Lonchura striata: one gene and its partner. The protein of the gene in region 2 interacts with the protein of the main gene of each other region in a biochemical or structural test. Links are inferred from orthologs where the notes say so. Each region holds a gene or a part of one and is shown on either strand. Other genes may lie near its edges.

Region 1 (10,351 bases), on a different chromosome or scaffold from region 2:
GCAGGAAGGAGCAGTTTGGAAGGGATGCTTTGGGACGGGGATGCAGAGCCCAGGGATGGATGGAGAGGCACCGTGGCTGCCTCATCACTCGTGCTCCTCAGTCCTGAGGACCAAAGCGTGGTGCTGGTGGCCCTGGGTGGCTCACAGGGTGCTGGTGACAAACCTGGGGGACAGCAAGTGACATGGTGCTGGGTTTTTTTTCCCAGATCACTCCCTTTCCAGAGATCCATTATTTCACTGTGCTAAATCCAACCCGAGTGCAGGGCTCCAGCAGCTCCAGCACTGCACACGGGAAGGAGAGAGGGAGAAAGAGGGAGAGGGACAGAGAAAGAGCCACCAAGAAGAGGGAATGCGTGGGAAAGGCCTGATCCTGCATCCTGGGGCTTCAGCTGGTGAGATTGTAGCTCAAACACCATCCCTCTCCTTCCCCAGCACCTCTGCCTGATCCAGGTTCTCCTTTCTTTCTGCCTGGAAAGTTCTCCCCAAAGACACAACTGGGGACTCCATCCCCTGGGAAGAAGCCGCCGGGCAGCCACGTCCCTCCCTCCCCACCAAGAGATTTGGCGAAGCTGGGGTGGGAAAGGTCACCTTAGCCAAGCTCTGCTTGTAATGGAAGTTTTTTTTAATTAAAGATTTCAAAAATAAAATAACGCCCCTCCTCGATTTTTGCTTCCTACACCTCGGGGAGATGCCAGCAGAACCCCTTTTGTCTCAACCCTGCAGAAGCAGCCAGACCCTCCTGGTCTCCCGTGCCCCTTCTCCGTCCCTCGCCGGCTGTGATTGAAATGGAAGACAAACATCAAGTGTGCTAGAACCATTTTAATATAATTATACATATCTGCCAAATCCAGGAAAAAAAGGTTTATGCATATATATCTTTTTTTTTTCTTTTTTTTTTCAGTTAACATCTGCAAGCATAAACGACAATGAATTTCTTGGTTTAAATTCATCCAGGTCAGAGCAACTGCCCAAAGTCCTGTCGGATTTGACGGTTACTGCCGGCGTGGCCAGCAGTAAGTGAGCTCCAGAGGAGTTAAATGTCCTCGGGTGGGGTATTTTCGGTCTTTCCTCTTTCATTCAGAGACAGTTTGTTGTAAAAAGTTTCAGTGCAGTTCACCTCGGGTGAAAGGCGATCGTGTTTTTTGCGTTTTTCTTTTTTTTTTTTCTTTTTTATTATTTTTTAAATATATATTTTTAATTATTTTTTTTTAAAGATGATAATAGGTAACTCAGTTGCTCTGAATTTCACTTATAATTATAACCTATTTAAATCACAGCAGAACTCCTGCTGGTGCAGAGTTCATAGTTGCATACAATACAGGAGATCACAGTTTTGAAGTCTAGCACAGATTAAAAACCACAGATGTACCATTTATATAAGACACACACTGATTGTCTCTTAAAAACTACATATTGACTCCTTATGAACATTATCTTTTTTTTTTTTCTTAATCTTTAAATAAAGTAGTGCAGCTAGGACAATCAGTCACACAACCCACACAGCCCTGAACCAAGTTCTCCGGGTGCCAACTTCAGCAAGTTGGGCATGAAACAGTTGGATGAGCTCGAGAGAGAGAAAAGAAAGAGGGAGGGACAAAAAGAGGGAGAAAAAGAGAGATGTTGTCCATTCTGAATATTTTAACCGAGGGTTGGCTAACACATTGGAAACCTCTGGGTGAAGGATCATCTTTCCACGCACACACAAAAAAAGAAATAAAAACCTAGACTTTTTTTTTTTTTTTTTAAACTGGCCCGCAGGTGGGAAGATCTCCCACCTCTTCCAAACAAAGAAACCCAACAATTGGCTAAAACTAGAAAGAACACAGATGGGTCTGTCTGGTTTCTGCTCACTAGATGATCTGTCCATTTAAGGCCTTCCTCCTCCGTTTTTCCTCTTTATTATTCCTTTTCCAGAGCGTCTGAGCAGGAGATGAGTCTGAACGGGATCACACCAACACTGTCCCCCTCTTGTTGCTGTCAAGTTTGTTTATTTTTTTTTTTTTGTTTTGTTCATTTGTTTGTCCGTGGAGTTATTTTTCTCTTTAACTTAACCAAGACCTGACTAAAACTGGAGCGCTCAGCCCAGCCTGTTCGTTCTCGTCGCGATTTCTCTCGGTATCACAAAGGTTCTTCACAAAACCTGGAACTTCCATGACGATGTCTGGTCCTTATAATCCAAGCAGTCAGCATTGAAGTTTAACTTCCAGGAGGCCGTTTGGTCTTTATAATCCAAGCAATCGGCGGTGGAGTTAAAGCCCAAACTGGAGGCTCCATAGCCCTGGGTGGAGAGGGAGGCTGGAGACTGGTTGAGGTGGCTGGTGACCGCGTTGGCACCCATGGGACTCAGGGTGGCCCCCGGCCCGGGGAGCTGGTGGTGCATAGGGGTCAAGTAAGATCCACAGTCCATCCCTCCGAAATAGGAGGTCGATCCAGCGTATCCTTGGCTGTAGCCTGATGCCTGGGTGTAGGTCATGGGATAGGATCTCTGCATGCAGGAGGAAGAGGTGGACAGGGGGTCTGAGAGCGGGGAGATGGACGCTGGGCTCCAGATGGACACGGGGGCACTGCTGCTGGAAATGGTGGGGACTGAGGTGCTGGAGGGGGGAGTGAACTGCCCGCTGGTCCCGCTCTCCGAGCTCACTTCCCGGGCGGGCGAATTCTTCTTTTTAGCCGGCCGGACCTTGTTCTGGCCCCCGTTCTGCTGCTGCTGCTGCTGCTGCCGGCACTTGGCTCGGCGGTTTTTAAACCACACCTTGAGGCAGAGACACAAGGGAGGGAGAGAGAAAAAGCCTGGGGTTAGGGATGAGATGGTGGCAGGCAGACCTCGCCGGGGAGGGAAACCCTAAACTGTCCCCCAAGAGCAGAGGGTTGCAGGCTGCTGCGAAGGGAAGCTCCGGGGCTTCCCCTCCCTGAGATAATTAGCAGCAATAACGAGTGGAAATCACAAATCAAACTCCTTAATAAGGTCACTTTTCGGGAGAAGGGGAAGCATTCTCTCTTTGCTGTTTGCCAGCCGGGGACCCCCAGGAATCACTGCGTAAGGCCTATTGAAGTCGAGCCCTTAATTAGAAACAATAGAACATCAGAAAAGCAGGGAACAATTAGGGAAGCAGAGGTTCAGGGTGGGGAGAGGGGTAAAGATGTCTCATTTATCCTCCAAACAGGCTCTCTGCTCTCACCCCCTCGGCCAGAGTTGGCCCCTCAGCCCATCTCACCTTCCCTTAGCAGGGCCCAAGGGGGCTGGCTGGCTCTGGGGAGGTTTTGTGGGAAGGAGGATGGGGTTTGGCATGGGGGTATCCTGATCCCGGCCACCACGCTCCACGGGAGCACCACACAGCCTCGGGAAGCCTCGTCAGGGAGCAAGTGGAAGGGATGGCTTTGGAGATGCCCTGTCCCCCTGCTGCTGGGGTGTTCTAGGTCCCAGAGGGAGCAGGACCCTCCTGCCTTGCCAGCAGCATCTCCAAAATGCTGCCTGCATGGGCTCCCTGCAGAGCAGACACAGCCCAGCCCCGGGAGAGGGGCTCTCTCCACCAAGGCAGCCCCTCTCTCATCAAAGTCCCCTCAGAGGGGGAGGAAGCTCCCAGTCTGTACTGGTTTGGTCTGGGATCCCAGTCTGGCCCAGCTCCAGGGATGTGGTGATCCCCGGGGAAGTGGGCATCCTCTGTGGCTTCTGCAGGACAGACTGGGATTTGGGCGTGCTGGGGATGGGTGTGGAAGGTCCAAGAGCTGGGATCCAGGATCTGCATAACACCCCCTCAGTGCAGAGGGAGGAAGGGGGGGCACAGCCAGCCCTGGGGATGCAAAATGCCACCACATCCCCTCACTGAACCCCCACCCGTCTCTGAGCCTCCTTCACCCCACAAGGGCTTGATTTGGCTTCAGGACTGGATCCATCCCCTAAAGCCGTGTCCCTCCCAGTCAGGCACAGGCCAGCCCAAGCCCTTCCCGCGGTACGGAGGGGGAGGGCAGGTAGGGATCTCCGCATCCTACCTGCACTCGGGACTCGGGCAGGTTGATTTTCAGGGCCACCTCCTCCCGCATGAAGATGTCGGGGTAGCGGGTCTTGGCGAAAAGAGCCTCCAGCACATCCAGCTGCGCCCGGGTGAAGGTGGTGCGCTCCCGCCGCTGCTTCCGCGGGGTGGCTGCGAACGGAGCCAGAGGCCCTGGCTGTCAGTCAGCGGCCCCTTAGACCCCGCTGTCCCCTCCAGCCCCCTCCCTAGAGGGGCACCCACATTCTCTCCCCTCTCCCGGGGGTCCCGCACCCCCAGGATCAGCCGCCACAGCGCGGCCGTCCCAACTCCGTGCGTTCGGAGCATCCCCAGCGCCGGGGTCTGCCCTGTTTGCAGCCCCTCTCCCCCAGAAAAACTTGGGGGTCAGGAAGAAGGGACCCCACGCGTTCACCCGCCCAAGCCAGCCGTGATCCCTGGGCATGTTGTGCCTCCAAAATCCCAGCGGTTTCTCCCCCGCGCAGCAAAATAGAGGGAGGGAAGAGGGAAGAAAAACGTGGCTTACCGGGATAACCGACGGACGGATGCAGCAAATCCATGCCCGAGGTTGTGAGACTCAGGCCATTGACTGCATAAGGTGGTTGCTTAAGATAAGACATCATGCTAAAGTTGTGGCGGGGAGGAGAGTTGGCCGAAATCCGGGCGAGGGGGAGCCGGCCGAGCGCCCTGCCTGCCCCGGGCGGTGCCTGGGGGAGCCGTCGGGCGTGGGGGGGCCGCCAGGTGCCTGCGCAGGAGGAAGAGGAGGGAGCAATGCGGGGATGAAGGGGGGAGTCAGGCCAGATCGCTGCCCCCCGCCCCCCCCGCTTTTATCCCGGCTGCCTTTCCCCCCCCCTCCACCCTCGTCAATCCTCCCTCTCGGACCCCAACCAGATTTGGGAGCTGGGAGAGACTGACTAGATAAACGCATCTCTCCCCAAAAAGGGCGAGGAGGGGAGGGAAGGGGGGGCACATCCCAGCCAGTAATTACTGCCCGAACAAAACCCCCCCATGCCTTCAACTGCCCGCATTGTACGGCGGCCGGGGGCATTTGCATAGGATTCCCGGCCGGGCACCGGCTAATTGTCTCAAGCAAAACTTGATTGGGGCCATTGGCAGACACAAAGAACCCCTCGGCTAAATAAATAATGCAGATAACAAAGCCCAAGGGTGAGAAACAAAGAAACAATTCAAGAAACCTATCTCTCCACTAGTCTCTTGCAAGGACTTTAATTATCCCAGGTTTGGGCAACATTCAAACCTTTCCCCCCTTCTCCCCCTTTTCCCCTTCCCCCCGACGTTGCTGCATTTCAGAGCTCAAATGCCCGCTCGGGAAGAGCCAAACTTTTCTGCTCTCCCGCCATCAGTCCACGTCTGCAGTAATTTCCACCGGCCATTTGCACCTAATTAGTACTCCGGGTAATTAGATTTGGAGGCAAGTAACAGATTTATTAGGCTTTCAAGAAACTCTTGATGACGGAGCTGAAGCTAAACAAACAGCCCGGCGGTGAGCGGCCCCGGGACAGCCCCGGCGAGCCAGCGGCTCTCCCGGTCACCGCTCGGGCTGCCCCGGTCCCCTCTCGCTGCCCCGACGGGACCGGCATCTCTGCGCCGGGGAACGAGGGGGGACCCAAATATGGGGTCCGCCAAAACAAAAAAAAAAAAAAAAGGGAAAAAAAAGGAGAAAAAAAAAAAAAAAAAAAAAAAGGACGGCAACGGGCCAAACAGAGACTCATAAAAAGGTTAAAAAGGTTTAGGCCGTTTTTTCCCCACAGAAAATATTTTTTTTAAAATCTTTTTGAATGAAAGCTCGCCCTTCCCTCCATCCCAGCAGCCGTCGGGAAAACGAACTCCAGCAGAACTTTCTTCCCGAAAGAGCCCAAAACTCCGCGTTCCAGCCCAGCCGACTCCCCGGGAGGGCCCAGCGCTGCCGGGGGGCTCCAGCCCCGTGCACCCCCGGCGGTGCGAGTTCTCCGCGGCGCGGACTTTCCGCTTCTCCCCTCGGGGAAGGGATTTGCCGGGCTGAGCGGCGGAGGGAGCGCGCATCCAGCGCGGGGGGCGCAGGGTCGGGCCCCGCTTTTAGCATCACCCCCCGGGGGAAGCCGAACGGGGACGGTTCTGCCGAGGGGGGAGCCACGCTCTGTTCTCCGCGCAAGACGCGCGGGAGAGCAAAGCGGGGCTTGCTGCCCGCTTCAAAACGAGCGGACAAAAATATTTTAAAAAGAAAAAAAAAGAAAAAAATACTAAAAAAAAAAAACCAAAACAAAAAAAAACACACACAAACACCTCCTCTCCAAAAAAAGCAAGCCGTTCGGTTAAATTCGGCGGCATCCCACCGAGGCGCCAGCCCGGCGCGGCCGCCCGCGGAGCCCCTCGGCCGCGGCCGCGCATCCCGGGGCCGCCGCGCAGCCCGCGGAGCAACGGCTCCACTCCGCAATCTGTCACCTTCCCCCGCCTCCCGCTCCCCCCGCTCCGCGCACATCCCGGCTACCAGTTGCTCTGCCCTCGCTCAATAATAATTACCCCGTCCGAGAATTAATTATAATAAATGTTTTCTTGATAAACTAACGAGATAATCCGGGCGGCACACGCTCCCTAATTACGAGGCACCGGCCCCGGCTCCGCTGCTCGCCCCGGTGATTAATGCGGGGCAGCGATCCGCGCCCGGCCGCGCAGGCTGCGCCCCCGGCCCCGGCCGCGCTGCGGGGGCCGGGGGGGCTCGGCCGGGCCGCGGAGCAGCGCGGAGGGGCTCCCGCGGAGGGCGGGGGGAAAGGTGCCAAGGTAGAGAAGGGAATTTGTTTCCTTTTGTTTTGCGAACGACAGCCGCGTTCCCTGCCCTCGCCGCGCTCCAACGAATTCAACGAATCCAAATTTATTTAATTTTTTTTTAAATCAAACCTTTTTTTTTCTTTTTCTTTTTTTTTTTTTTTTTTTTTTCCCGCACTGAAGGGACTGTTTGAAGGGATATTTCCCGACAAGCGAATTTTACCACAAATTGCAAAGGCGGTGGGGATGGACCCGTCACCCGCTCTGCCGGGCGGTCCCCCAGCGCTTCTCCCTCCGCAGCTCCGCGCTGCTCCGCGGCCGCGGCTCCTCCCCGGCCCCGGGAGCGGCAGGGCCGGGCTCGGCGGGCAGCCACGTCCGCCCCAGGCCCGTCCCTGCCGCCCAGCAGCACCCGGCCGCATTTTTAAAGTGCTTTTTTCCCCCACTTCTTTCTATTATTATATATATATTTTTTTAACTAGAGTTGCGCCTTTTCAAAATAAATAAATAATAAGCCTCAACTTCTCTAAGCAGCCGAAATCGAAATAAAACTCAGCAGCCAAGGAGGGTTTTAGTTCTAAAGAAACTTGTGCCGCTGCACAAGGACTTTTCCCGAGTTTTTCTTTGTCAGCGCGGTGCGAATATAGAGAGGCCGGGCCGCGCTACTCGCGGTCGGTGTCTTTAGGAAGCGCTTTCCCAAGGCATAAAAAAATAAAATTAAAATAAAATAAAGGAGGTGGATACCAGTTCCAGCCCCTCTCCGACCTGGATGCCATTCCTGCCACCCCTTTCGCCCGCCCCAAATCCTGAAGCTCCGGCCCTAAATGCTTTGAAGATTTCTCTCCCTGCGCTTTCCAGCCCGGTTCTCCCGGGCCGTGAGTGCTCAAAAACACCTTTGCAAAATTACTTTGCTGAGTCTCCGCATCGCGAGGAAGAGGAGGAGGATGAAAGGGTTCTCAGGTAGGAGTCGGAAGAGGGGAGAAATTCAATTCCTCCCCGTTGGTTTTTTGGTTGGTTGGTTTTTTGGTTTTATTTTGGTTTTATTTTTTTCTCCATAATTTTAAAACTCAAGCTTGAGGTCAGGAAATATCTACAGGCCAAAGGAACAGGCCGGAAAAAAAATCATGTACCCAACGAAAAGGCGATGAAGCCCCGCGCCTGCCCGCGGAGAGCGAGCGGCTCCGCGCCCGGCCGCGGGGGACGAGGCTCGGGGGGCGAGGGCGGCGATGGGCAGCGCCCCACGCTTCCCAATTTTGCCTTTTTCCCTCTCATCCTGCAGCTCCCGGTCCCTGCCGAGCACCGAGCCGGTGCTGTCCCCGAGCCGGGGCCGCCTCCGCCCGGCCCGGCCCGGCCTCTCCCGGGCAGCTCCTGCGGGATCCCCGCACAGCGCAGCCCCACCGCGCACAGGCTGCTTGAAAATAATCATCATTTAAACAAACAAACAAATAAAAAAAAAAAATTCGATCATTTGAATTCTCCCCGCGTTCCTGGCCGCCCAGCCGTGCCCCCGAGGAAGGATGGAGCCAGCGGGTCGGACTTACCTGCGAGGCTCGCCGGAGCCGCGGGCAGGGCTGGGGGGCGAAGGGGGAAAGCTGCTCCCGGATCCTCGCCAAATTCAGAGCTCGGGCTGAGCTGGGAGAGAAAGCACAAAGCGGGAGGTTAGAGAGCTCGCCGCATGCACATGCCCACGACATCGGGGGGAAAGGGGGGGGGGAGGGGGGGGTGGAGAAAAAAATGTTTGAAAAAGGAGAATAAATGGGGAAAAAGGGGAGGGGACGGTGCAGGAGAGGGATGCGGGGATGCTCGGGGTCTGGGCTCGGTACATACAGAGCTGGCCGGTGCTGGAGCTGGTCAAAGTGGTTTTATTTTTAATAATAGTGGCAGGGTGCGTTGGAGCTGAAGGTCTCTACCTCTCTCGGGGAGCTTTGCTGAGAAAGCGCCTCTCTGGCAACTTTTTGACGCAAACTCTCCAACCAATGGCAGGGAGAGAGTGATTGACACATCTAAGCCAGGGGGAAAATAATAAAAACACACACAGGGGGAGGAAAAAACAGGCCGCTGCTGTACCGGGGGGACAATCCAGAGAGAAATAACAGCCGCCGAAATGACACCAGAATATACATTAAAAGAACCTGCTCGGTTTAAAAATATACATTATGGAGCGGAGCGGATGAAGTCATTGTAGAAATTAATGTGATGGACAGCAGAGATGGAATTAGCGAACTGCCCGGGGAAGGCGAGGAAAGGGGGGGCAGCAGAAGGCTGGGGGGTGGCTGTAATAATAATAACAACAACAACAAAAGATATTAATGTATAGAAGTAAATATTTGTGAAGGGGGGACACGAAGCCTGCCGGGAGCCCTGGGCTGAGCAGCAGGAGATGGGTGAGAGGAAAACCCGCGGGAGCCAAGGGGAGAATCCCCCCCAGCACAGAGCGGGGTGCCCCCAGCCCCGGGTCCCCCCAGTGGCACCCACAAATCGACCACACCCCAATTCCACCTCCCAGGGGCCAAGTCACCCCTGGAAGAGGGGAAATGGAGTCACCTGGGGGACGACATAAACGCGTTTTAAATTGTATTTTTAAAGATCTATAAGGAACGAGGGTGCGGAATGGAACTTATCGGCGTCGCGTTGAAATTGCAAAGAGGGACGCGCGCATGTTTTTAATGGGAATAATTTGGGAGCAGTGACGGGCTGAGGGTGAGGAGGGCCCAGGGGGTTCCCGGCCTGGCACACCGGAGCCGGGCACCGGGATGTTCCCCTGGCACCTCCCGTCCTCGCTCAACTTCTCGCGGCTCACAGCACCCCGAAAATAAAGCCCTGGCAAAAGGCAGGAGGATGGAGGCGGCTGAGGTCGGAGGGAGGGAGCGCTCACAGACTTTCCTCACTTTGTGACAATGGGGGGAAAAAAACTGCAGCGGCTCCATCATTTTCACGGGGTGACCTATGTTAATGAAGTTATAGCAATTAATTGGCTTCTTTGTGGCTTTCTCCGAGCCCGGCTGAGTGCGATCCAACGTGGTTGTCCTTGGACTTTAGCGGCGGCGGCGCAGCCCGGGCTGGAGGTTTGCAGGAGCAGGTTTGGGATGCTCGGGGCTGGGCTGGGAGGATGGGTGGTGTGGCTTGGTTTTGGGTTGATTTTTTTTTTTTTTTAAATCCTTTACTCCCAGAAAGGAGGAGGAAGGAGGCGGCAGAAGGGAAGGAGGGAGGGGAAAGGAAGGCAAACAAACAAACAAACAAACAAATAAACAAAATACCCCCTCGCCCAGAAGCGACGCAGCCCTGACCGCCGGAGCCGCTCCCACTTTGGCCGCTGGGTTGTATTTGTTTGGGGCTTTTTTTGGTTGGATTTGGTTTGGTTTTTTGGGGTTTTTTTTCTTTTTTGTTACGAGGCGACTTCATGGAAAGTTGATACCCGGGGTACCCCCGGCAGGTACCCCCTGGCCCCACGGGATTCCCAACCCCTGCCTTTCTTGGGGTTGTGTTTTGATTTATTTTTCTCTCTTTTGTGGGGACTTTTTTTTTTTTTTTTTTTTGTGGGTTTGTTTGTCTAGTTGAGTTTGTTTGTTGTTGTGTTTTTTTTTTTTTTTAATTGTGGGGGAAAG
Region 2 (9,018 bases):
AGAAAAAAGGAGCGAGAAGAAAGAAAAGGAAGGAAAGAAAGGAGAGACAAAAATAGAGGGAGAAAAGGTGAAGGGAGAATAAAAAAGGGAGAAGAATAAAAGGAGAAAATAAGAGGGGGGATAAAAGGCGGAGGAAAATAAAAGGAAGGAAGGGGTGGGGAAAGAGCGAGGAAAGTAAAAGGAGGAGAAGAAATAAAGGAGTATATAGACGGAGAGAGAATGAAAAAGAGGAGAGGAAGATGAAAGGGCAGAGGAAAAAATGAAAGGGGAAAAAGTAAAACGGAAGAAAAATCCAAGGGGAGAGGAAAAAAAAAAAACCAGGGGAAACGGCGAAAAAGTCAAAGGGGGAGAAAAAAGCGAAAAAGGGGAGAAGAAATAAAGGGGGGGAAGGAAGAGAAATGGGCGGAGAAGGAAGAAAATAAAAGGGGAAATGAAGAAAAAAGAGGCGAAACTCTGCGGAGGGAGCGAGATGCGAGCGGAGCCGAGCGGGGCCGGACCCGAGGCCGGGAGCGGGGGCGGGGGAGATGTCCTTGTCCCCAAAGCGGCGACACCCCCGCGCCCGTGCCCGCTGGCCGCGGGAGCCTTTTATGTGCTAATGCCACCCATTGCACGCCCCGCTTGCCGTCGTGTGTGTCCTTGGAGAGATCCCGACACATTTCAGCCCCAGTTGTTTTTTTTTTTTAGGAAGATTCTTTTTTTCCCCTTCTCCTCTTTCCCCCTACTCGCCTCCCGCCACCCCCCACCCCCGCCCCGCTCCTCCCCGCTCGTTCCCTTTCTCCCCTTTTCTCTCGCCGCGGACAATGCGGAATTTTAAGAAGGATTTGGATGTTAGTTGGGAAAGCAACATCGCGGCGTGGCCGGCGCCGCGTGGGAAAAACAACAAGTGGTTGGGAAGAGGGCGAAAAAGGGAATGGAAGGAGAGGATGCGGGAGGTGTTGAAAATAAAAAGCTCTGCCCTTTTTCCACCGCCCGCCGAAAATCTGGGATGCTGTCCCGGCAAAGGCAGGGATGCGCTGCCCCTGCGAGTCCTAAATCCCTCCCGGTTAACGCAGCTGGGATGATTTTTCCAGGATCGCAGGGCTTTGGGAGAGATGTCCCGGATTCCCACCTTGAGCGGGAGGAGCGGATTTTCCCTGGCCGCGGTGTCGGGGTGGGATGGGTGGGAATAGTGCGATCCTGGCAGGGATCCCGCGGGCATGGAGATGTCCCGGCGGGGATAGCGGGATCCTGGAAGGAATAGTGTGATCCTGCGGGGATGGGGGTATCCTAGAATGGATGGAGGAGTTCCGGAAGGGATGAAAGGATGGCGGCAGAGACATCGGAGATTCCAGCGGGGGCTGGAGGGATTCCGGCGGGGGGATCGGAGGGATCCCAGCCGGGTATGAAGCGATCCCAGCCGGGTTTGGAGCGGCAGCAGCCGGGAGATCCCGGGTATGCCGGCAGGGACAGCGGCGATGCCAAGCCGGGAGCGGCGGGGGTCCCGTCGGGCGGCGGCGGCGGAACAGAGATTCAGGGGGAAAAGCACCGCCAATACGACTTTAATGGAGTTCTGCGGCAGCTGCGGCCGCTCGCTACCAGAATACACAGTTCGAAGACATAAATAAAGCATACAGAAACGATAAATTAATCAGATCCGAGTAGTTTACTCTCCCGGGAACTTAAAGCATTTGCTTCAATTGCAACAATCTATCCTGCCTTTTCTTAATTTTTTTTTTTATTTTTTTCTTTATTTTTTTTTCTTTCCCCCGTTTCCCTCCCGCCGTGTTTGTTTTTTTTTTTTGTCTGTTTTTTTTTTTTTTTTTTTTTTACAACGTTTCAAGACTTTTGGTTCTCAGTTTCCGAACTAGGAATATTCACAAGGAAGGAGGGGTTGGTTCTGCCTCGGTTGAGGGTTATTTTTTTCCCCCCCTCACTCTCACACAAAAAAATAGATATATTTAGACCTCGTGGCGACGACAACAACGAAAAAATCAAAACAAGCCCTGGAGAATCCCCCCATGCCCACCCCGCCAAACCAAACCACCCCACATGGAGCCCTCCCCCGGGTGGATTTGGGAAGGGGCCACATGGCTGCAGGTTCCCAAATGGATGCAAACATCTGGAGCCAAAAGGGAACAACAACAAAAAAAAAATATATATATATATACCAGATATGTACCGTACTCAGAGTCCATTGCGAGGGGTATTGGGGGGGAGAAGGTTTTCCCCTTTTTTCAGGAGCGTTTTCCTGCTTAGGAGGAGTTCATGATGGGCCGGGAATACACGCCTTGGTAGTAGGAAGTCTCTCCGGCCAAAGGCGAGGCCTCCAGGGCGCTTTTGTTCGTTACGGGTGCCATGGCCAGGCCCGCGGGCACGGGCGAGGCGTAGCCCGAGTAGTGCATCACCTGCTCGTAGGCCTTCAGGTCCATTTTGTGCGGGTGGTGGTGCTGGTGGTGTGGGTGGTGGTGCTGCTGCTCTGAGGAGGACATCAGATTGTTGATGGAGAATGGGTGGTTGAAGGCGTAGTGGTGCTCAGGCTTGAGGTGGCCTTCGTGGGCCAGCCCGGCGTGTGGCGGGGCCAGCAGGTGCTGGCCTGGAGAGGCCGAAGGCTCGCCGGGACTCAGCCCTTTGAGGTCGGCCAGGGTGCGCTTGTGGTCCTGGCACGGCGAGGAGCTGGTGGGGGACTCGGCACTGGCAGAGCCATCGGAGCCTGCCGAGGAGCTGCCCTCGCCCAGGGGCTGGCTGGGGGCTTGGCCTGAGCCTTTCTTGCTGCCACTGCCGCCAGTGCCATCCTTGGCCGCCAGCTGCTTCTCGCACTTGAAGCGCTTCTGGCGGCGCAGGTAGCAGCCGTTCTCGAACATGTTCCCCGAGTCCGGGTGCAGCGTCCAGAAGGAACCCTTGCCTGGCTTGTCCGGTGAGCGCGGCACCTTGAGGAAGCAGTCGTTGAAAGACAGCGAGTGGCGGATGCTGTTCTGCCAGCGCTGCTGATTCTGGCGGTAGAAGGGGAACAGGTCCATGATCCACTGGTAGATCTCGCTGAGGGTTAGCATCTTGTTGGGGGACTGCTGGATGGCCATGGTGATGAGGGAGATGTAGGAGTAGGGCGGCTTGGCGTGAGTGTAGCTGCGCCGGTAGGTCTTGGGGTCGCGTGAGCGGTTCAGGTTGGACTGGCCATAGATGGGGCTCATGGAGTTCATGTTGGAGTAGGGTGCCAGGGCGTTCATGGAGCCCGCCTGGCTGCCCATGGGGCTCATGCTGGGGCTCAGGTGGGCACCCATGCCCGGCACGCCGGCCGAGCCCATGGCCGGCATGGCCCCTGCGCCCGGGGACATGCCTGTCAGCGAGGGGCTCATGCCCGTGTTGGCGTAGGACATGTTCATGGAGGTGGCCGCCGCCGTCATGTTGGCCGTGCTGCTCATGGCCGACATGGTCATGTAGGTGTTCATGCTGTTCATGCCCAGACCCGCGTTCATGTTGCTCACCGAGGAGTAGCCCTGCGGGGACAAGCGACACAGGGCACGGGGATGGCGCGGGGGGGAGCCCCAGCCCAGCCAAGCTCAGCCCAGCCCAGCCCAGCCCGGACGCGCCACAGCCGCGGGGCTCCGCGGAGGGCACGGGAGGAAAGAGTTAAATCCCGGCGCGGGGCGGTGGTGGGGCAGGCGGGGGGGGGTTGTTTTTCTTCTTAATGAAACCCAAATATATTTTGGTATTTATATTAGAAAAATCGCGGTGGCAGCAGGAGCGGCGGAGCCGTCCCGCGAAGCGGAGTTGCAGGAAGGGAAAGGGAAAGGGACATCTCTGACCGGAGAGAGAAAAATACCTAGGGGGGTGGAAAGAAAAACAGAGAAGAGTCGCCTGCATCCCCACCCGCACCTCGGGATCCCCGCCCGCAGCAGGGAGCCGGTGCCAAAGTTAATCGCGTCCGGGGGCCGGGACACCGGGGGGTTTTGGGGGGTTCCGGCTCCGTCCATACCTCGGGCTCCCCGTAGTAGTTGCTCCAGTCCGTGTGCTCATGGCCTTCCATTTTCACCGCTCCCAGCATACTGGAAGTGGAGTGCATGGCAGTTTAAAATTTAACAGCCACAACAAACGACGGCAGAGAGCGACCCAAAAAAAAAAAAAAAAAAAAAAAAAAAAAAAAAGCAGCAAAAAAAAAAAGGCAAAAAAAATTACTCCCCAACCCTCCCTCCCCTCCGCCGGAGCCTCTGGAGGAGGAGGAAGAGGAGGGAGGGAGGAAGGGGGGGATGTAGCGGCGCTGGGGCTGGGGTGGGTTTGTTCCGCCGCCGCTCCTTGGGTGGGTTTTCGCAGCGCTCCGCGGCGAAGAGGCGCCCGGAGGCGATGGAGGAGCCGGAGGAGGAGGAGGAGGAGGGAGGAGGGAGGAAGAAGAGGAGGAGGAGGAAGAGGAGGACAAGTGCTGCAGTGACGTGGGTGCCCCAGTGATATAGCACGGAGCGGCCGGGCGAGCCTCCAATCCCCAGGTCCTCGGCTGCCCATTTGAATAATCAGCTCACACCTAGGCGGGAGCGGCTCCTCCGCGGCCCCGCGCACCTCTGCGCGCCTCTGCCACCGCCTCGCGCCGGGGGACACCACTGCCACCCCATCCCGCTCCCAGGGGCACCGTTCCCAGCCCGCTGCCCGGACAGCCCCGACGGCATTGCTGCTGGGAGCAGTCCCGCTGCGGCGGCCGGGCATCCCCCTCGGGTCCCTGCTCCCCTCCCCGCGCACCTTCGCTCCCCGCGGCCAACGGGCCCCGCGGCTCTGTCTCCCCGGCAGGTCGGGACACGGCTCTTCCCGGCAGGAAAATCGGGACTAAACGGAGCAGGGAGAGCAGGGAAAGGGGCGGGCAGCGCCGGCGGGGCCGCGGGGCCGGCCCTGTGCGGGTCCCGGTGCGCTCCGTCGGGGCAGCGCCGCTGCCGGAGCGCCTGGGAGGGGGGAGAGCAGGAAAGGAGGAAAAGAGGGAAAGAGGAAGGAAGGACAGACGGGTGACCAAAACCACCCTCCCGCGGGTCTAAATTCCCCCCTACCCCCCATCGCGGTCCTGACAGCGCGGGGGAGACCCAAGACGACAGGGAGGCATGGGAGGGCTTCTCCCCATTCCCACCACCCCTTCCCAGTGCCCGCCTGGCTCCACCGGGAACATCCCCGCAGCTCCTGGGGAGTGTTCCATGAATTCCCACCTAGATCTGCCCACCGTCATAAAAAAAAAAAAAAAAAAAAAAAAAACCAACAAAAACCAAAAAAACACCACCAAAACCCCAAACCAACCGCAAGCCTGATTTATTTGTTTTTTTATTATTATTTATTTATCTATTTATTTAATTGTTTATTCATCTATTTATTTATTTATTTATTTATTGAGCTTGCGCTCCCCAGAGGGGCTCCCCTGCCCCACGTCGCCGAAAGTTTTTAATCCCCCCCCAGCAAACCCCTTCAGGATTTTTTCCCTGTGCTCCCAAATCCCTCTGGATCCATGGCCAAAGGAAAACACCCCTGCTTCCTTGTTTCCATCGCAATAGCCGCGGCGATAATCGCAGCCCACCTCCCTCCCATCACCCTCCACCCCTTCCAGGCATTTTCTGCCGGGATTTGGGCGATTTGGGGGAACGGCTCCGCGGGAGATGCCCCGCCGAGAGGAAGGACACCCCGAGCGCGGTGGCGGGGCGCCCTCTGTCGCCTGCTGTGGGTGCGGGGGGGGACGGAGAACGACACCCCGAGGTGGGGGGACACCCAGGGACACCCTGTGGGGTCAGTCCCGGGGTCACCCCCTCGCACCCCCTGCCCGCACCCCGAGACCACCCGTCCCGGCTGGGAGGGGAGGTGCTGGTCCACCCCAAGTGCTGAATCTCCACTTCCTGCGTTTCCAAGGAGGTTTCTGCTCATCCAAAGGCTCAGGAAGGGGGAAATCTGGGAGGATGGGATGAAATGTGGGATGTGGCTGCTGGGCATGCTCAAGGATCCTGCTCTCTGCTCCTGGCTAGATCCAGAATGAGACCCCACTGGTTTTCCATCCCCTTTTCCCTCAGACCTTGAGGTTTGTTCCGATGGATTCCAGAAAGGCTGGGATGAGCCTTTCCCCGGGCAATTCCCACACTCAGGCCTGGGCCCTGCAGATGTTGGGGCAGATGTTGGCACAGATGTGAGCATGTCTGGCACCTCCATGTGAGGGGTGGCCAGAGGTGATACCATCCCAAGCTCAGCAGCTCCTGCCTTTCCCAATTTCCTGCTCTTTCCCCTTTACCAGGTGCCGCTTCCCTGCTTTGGCTCCATAGGATTTGGAATTTTGTCCCCATCAAAGGTGAGGATTTTCATCCAGGTGTGGACTGGGACCTGCCCCAATTCCTTGGATTTTTGATCCTTCAGGACATTCCCACCGTCCCAGACACTTAAATCCCATTTTTCCCTTTGTCTGTCCCACAATTCTCCCATCCTGCTCCATCCATGGAGCACATCCTGCCAGGAATGGTGATGCTCATTCCATTCCACGTGCCCACAGGAACAACCACAGCCACCACATCCCACTCCTGCTCATCAGACAAAGCTGTTGTCGCAGGAATACGAGGACATGGAGCAATTCCAATATTTGTATTCAGCAACGCGGGCCTGGAAAAGCATCTGGATGTGGGATTGACTCTGGAGGCTCTGCTCCCACATCCAACCACCTCCCGCTCCCTTCTCACCTTCCACACAGATAAAATTAATCTCTCCTAAATAAAATAAGCAGGAAATTTGATATTTTCCCATAAAAAGAACATTTTTAGGAATACTAGGACTGCTAAAAAAGAAATTTTTTCTGTGGTGTCTTATTTAAACATTCCGGTTGGAAAGAGCGAGTTCCCAGCTATCTCCATATGATTTCTTCTCTTTAATATTTAACTAATATTTATTTTAAATTTAATTTTGAAATTATGCTCTTATTTGCATTGGGAGCCAAGGCTTGGGAGGGGACTCCCACTTCCCATGGGACAGCTGGAGTCTGGATGGGCTTTTTCTGCATCCATCCCTTGCAGCAATGCCAGTGTCTTCCCTCCAAGCTGGATAATTATCCCTCTTCTCCTGATAATTATCATCATTAATCTAGGATAATAAACTCTCCCAGTTGCGCTGCTCCTCCAAAAGAAAGGCGGGATTGGGTTTTTCCCTTGAAATCAGGAAATTGGGAGACAGAGGCTCCTGAAGAGCTGCCCTTCAGGAGGATTCTTGGAGACAAAAGGCAACTTGTCAGATTTATTGAGGCCATTCCCTGATAAGAGATGGAAATTATGGATGAATCAGTGCCTGGAAGTACTTCAGGAAGAGGTGGGAGATGGGATTGAGGCGGGAAGAGGGAAGGGTGGAGCAGCATAGGAAAGCTCCATTGCTACTGTGCTGCCTCTCGCTGGGTTTATTTCCAATTTTTCCTGTAGAATCCATCTTTGTAAGGTCAAGAGCTCTGCTGGGTTGAAAGCATTCCCAGGAGCTTCTGTTCCAACAAGCAGGACAAACCACAGGAAGATGGATGAGGATGAGGATGAGGATGATTCACATTCCTGAAGTTGGGAATTAAGCTGAGTATTCCCACAAAATTCTCCAGGAAGAGCCAACAGCACACCCCGGGTCACATCCAGCATCAATTTGGGAACGCGCACCAGGATCCCGCTCCCAAGCTCCCACAAATTCCATACATTGGGAAAAGCTACTTGAAGGATTCGGATGAAGACCACCGAAATTCCCTCTTTTTCCCCACGCACAGAGCCTCAGCTCTAGAACAGGTGCCGGTATTCCACCGGGAATTCCTACAATTACACCGGCCAATATTGACTCAACTATTTGAGGAACTCTTCAACCGAGTCCCTCCTAATTAGATTCCACATTAAATGGGGCTGCTTAATTCCAGGAAAGATTTTCCAAGGCCTTAGCAAGACTAACAAAGGAAAAGCCAGGATTGTGCAAAAATACTGTCTCTTTAATATCCCAAGGATATCCACCCTTTTAACTCTGGAATGATATCCTTCAATCCAAGGGGCAGGCAACTTGGCTTCATCCACAAGGATTCCTGAGGATCCAGACAGTCAGAATATATCCCTTTTTCTGGAATTTTCACTCCCTGTTTTAACATTCCTTCCTGCTCCGTAATTATCTGATGTCGATGAAGGGAAGGAGCTGCTGGAATAAAATAAAACCAGGGAAAAGCCCAATGGGTATAAAGCCCCATTATTAGGAATGGAGCACGGGCAGTTATCCTGATGGGAATTAATAACTTCCCAGGAAAGCATTCCTAATGATCCCTGGGGCCAATGCCAGCATGAGGTGGGGATCCTGGGAGGGTGGGATTGGGATCACAGCGGGAATGGGCAAAACCCCCTTGGAAGAGCCCAGCAGCCTCTGGAAAAGCTTCAGAGCAAAATCAACAGAGGGCATCTGCCGGCTGTTTGCCGTGGGCCACGTGATGCCCATTCCCGGCTTTCCAGCAGCACGTTTTGCCAGATAAACAAGATGTGCAGGCATCTGGGATGACGGCCGGAGGAGCTGGCTGGCTGCGGAAAACCGGGAGTTAGCGGATTCATCCCCAGCTCCCATGGCACAGGGAGAAGGATGAGAGGAGGGAGATACCCAGGTCGAGAAAGAAAGGAAAGAAAGCCTTCCTCACATCCCAGGAAAATCCTGCCATGGATATTTTCTCCCAGCAGGCAGGGGAATTTTCACCTGACTGAAATGTCCAGGGTTTGGGTTCATCCTGGGAAATATTTTTTATGTTTAATGATCAGTTGCTGAAAACTGAAATGTCCTTGGGTTCCCAAGAAGAAAACAAACAGGAAGAAAATGGAACCTGGAGCCTCCTCCCAAAACCCAGGGCTTTAATAGCTCCCTGTTATTTCCTAACAAAACCCCCGTGCTGCTGGAGAGCTTCCAGCCTGGCTGAGGTGCTTTGATTCCCACTGGAAATTTGCTGCTCAGGGCAGGGGGATGAATGACCCCAAGGACGGTCCAGCACATAATCCAAGGAGTGAAATTAAGGGACCCAATTCCCAAATTCCTTACACAACCTGTAAAACCAGAGAT

What was found.
Region 1: the proteins of FOXA2 (region 2) and OTX2 form a complex in vitro, tested with the Homo sapiens proteins (2 studies listed by BioGRID). The link is inferred for Lonchura striata from reciprocal best matches to the Homo sapiens genes FOXA2 and OTX2.

Annotation. Positions count from the first base shown.
Region 1 is NC_134608.1:4,122,458-4,132,808, forward strand, and holds OTX2 (homeobox protein OTX2), read right to left. Parts: upstream 4,653-10,351; 5' UTR 4,610-4,652; coding exon 4,513-4,609; intron 4,164-4,512; coding exon 3,991-4,163; intron 2,753-3,990; coding exon 2,132-2,752; 3' UTR 805-2,131; downstream 1-804. UniProt on the Homo sapiens protein: Transcription factor probably involved in the development of the brain and the sense organs. Can bind to the bicoid/BCD target sequence (BTS): 5'-TCTAATCCC-3'.
Region 2 is NC_134605.1:27,872,227-27,881,244, reverse strand, and holds FOXA2 (hepatocyte nuclear factor 3-beta), read right to left. Parts: upstream 4,094-9,018; 5' UTR 4,040-4,093; coding exon 3,953-4,039; intron 3,474-3,952; coding exon 2,232-3,473; 3' UTR 2,089-2,231; downstream 1-2,088. UniProt on the Homo sapiens protein: Transcription factor that is involved in embryonic development, establishment of tissue-specific gene expression and regulation of gene expression in differentiated tissues.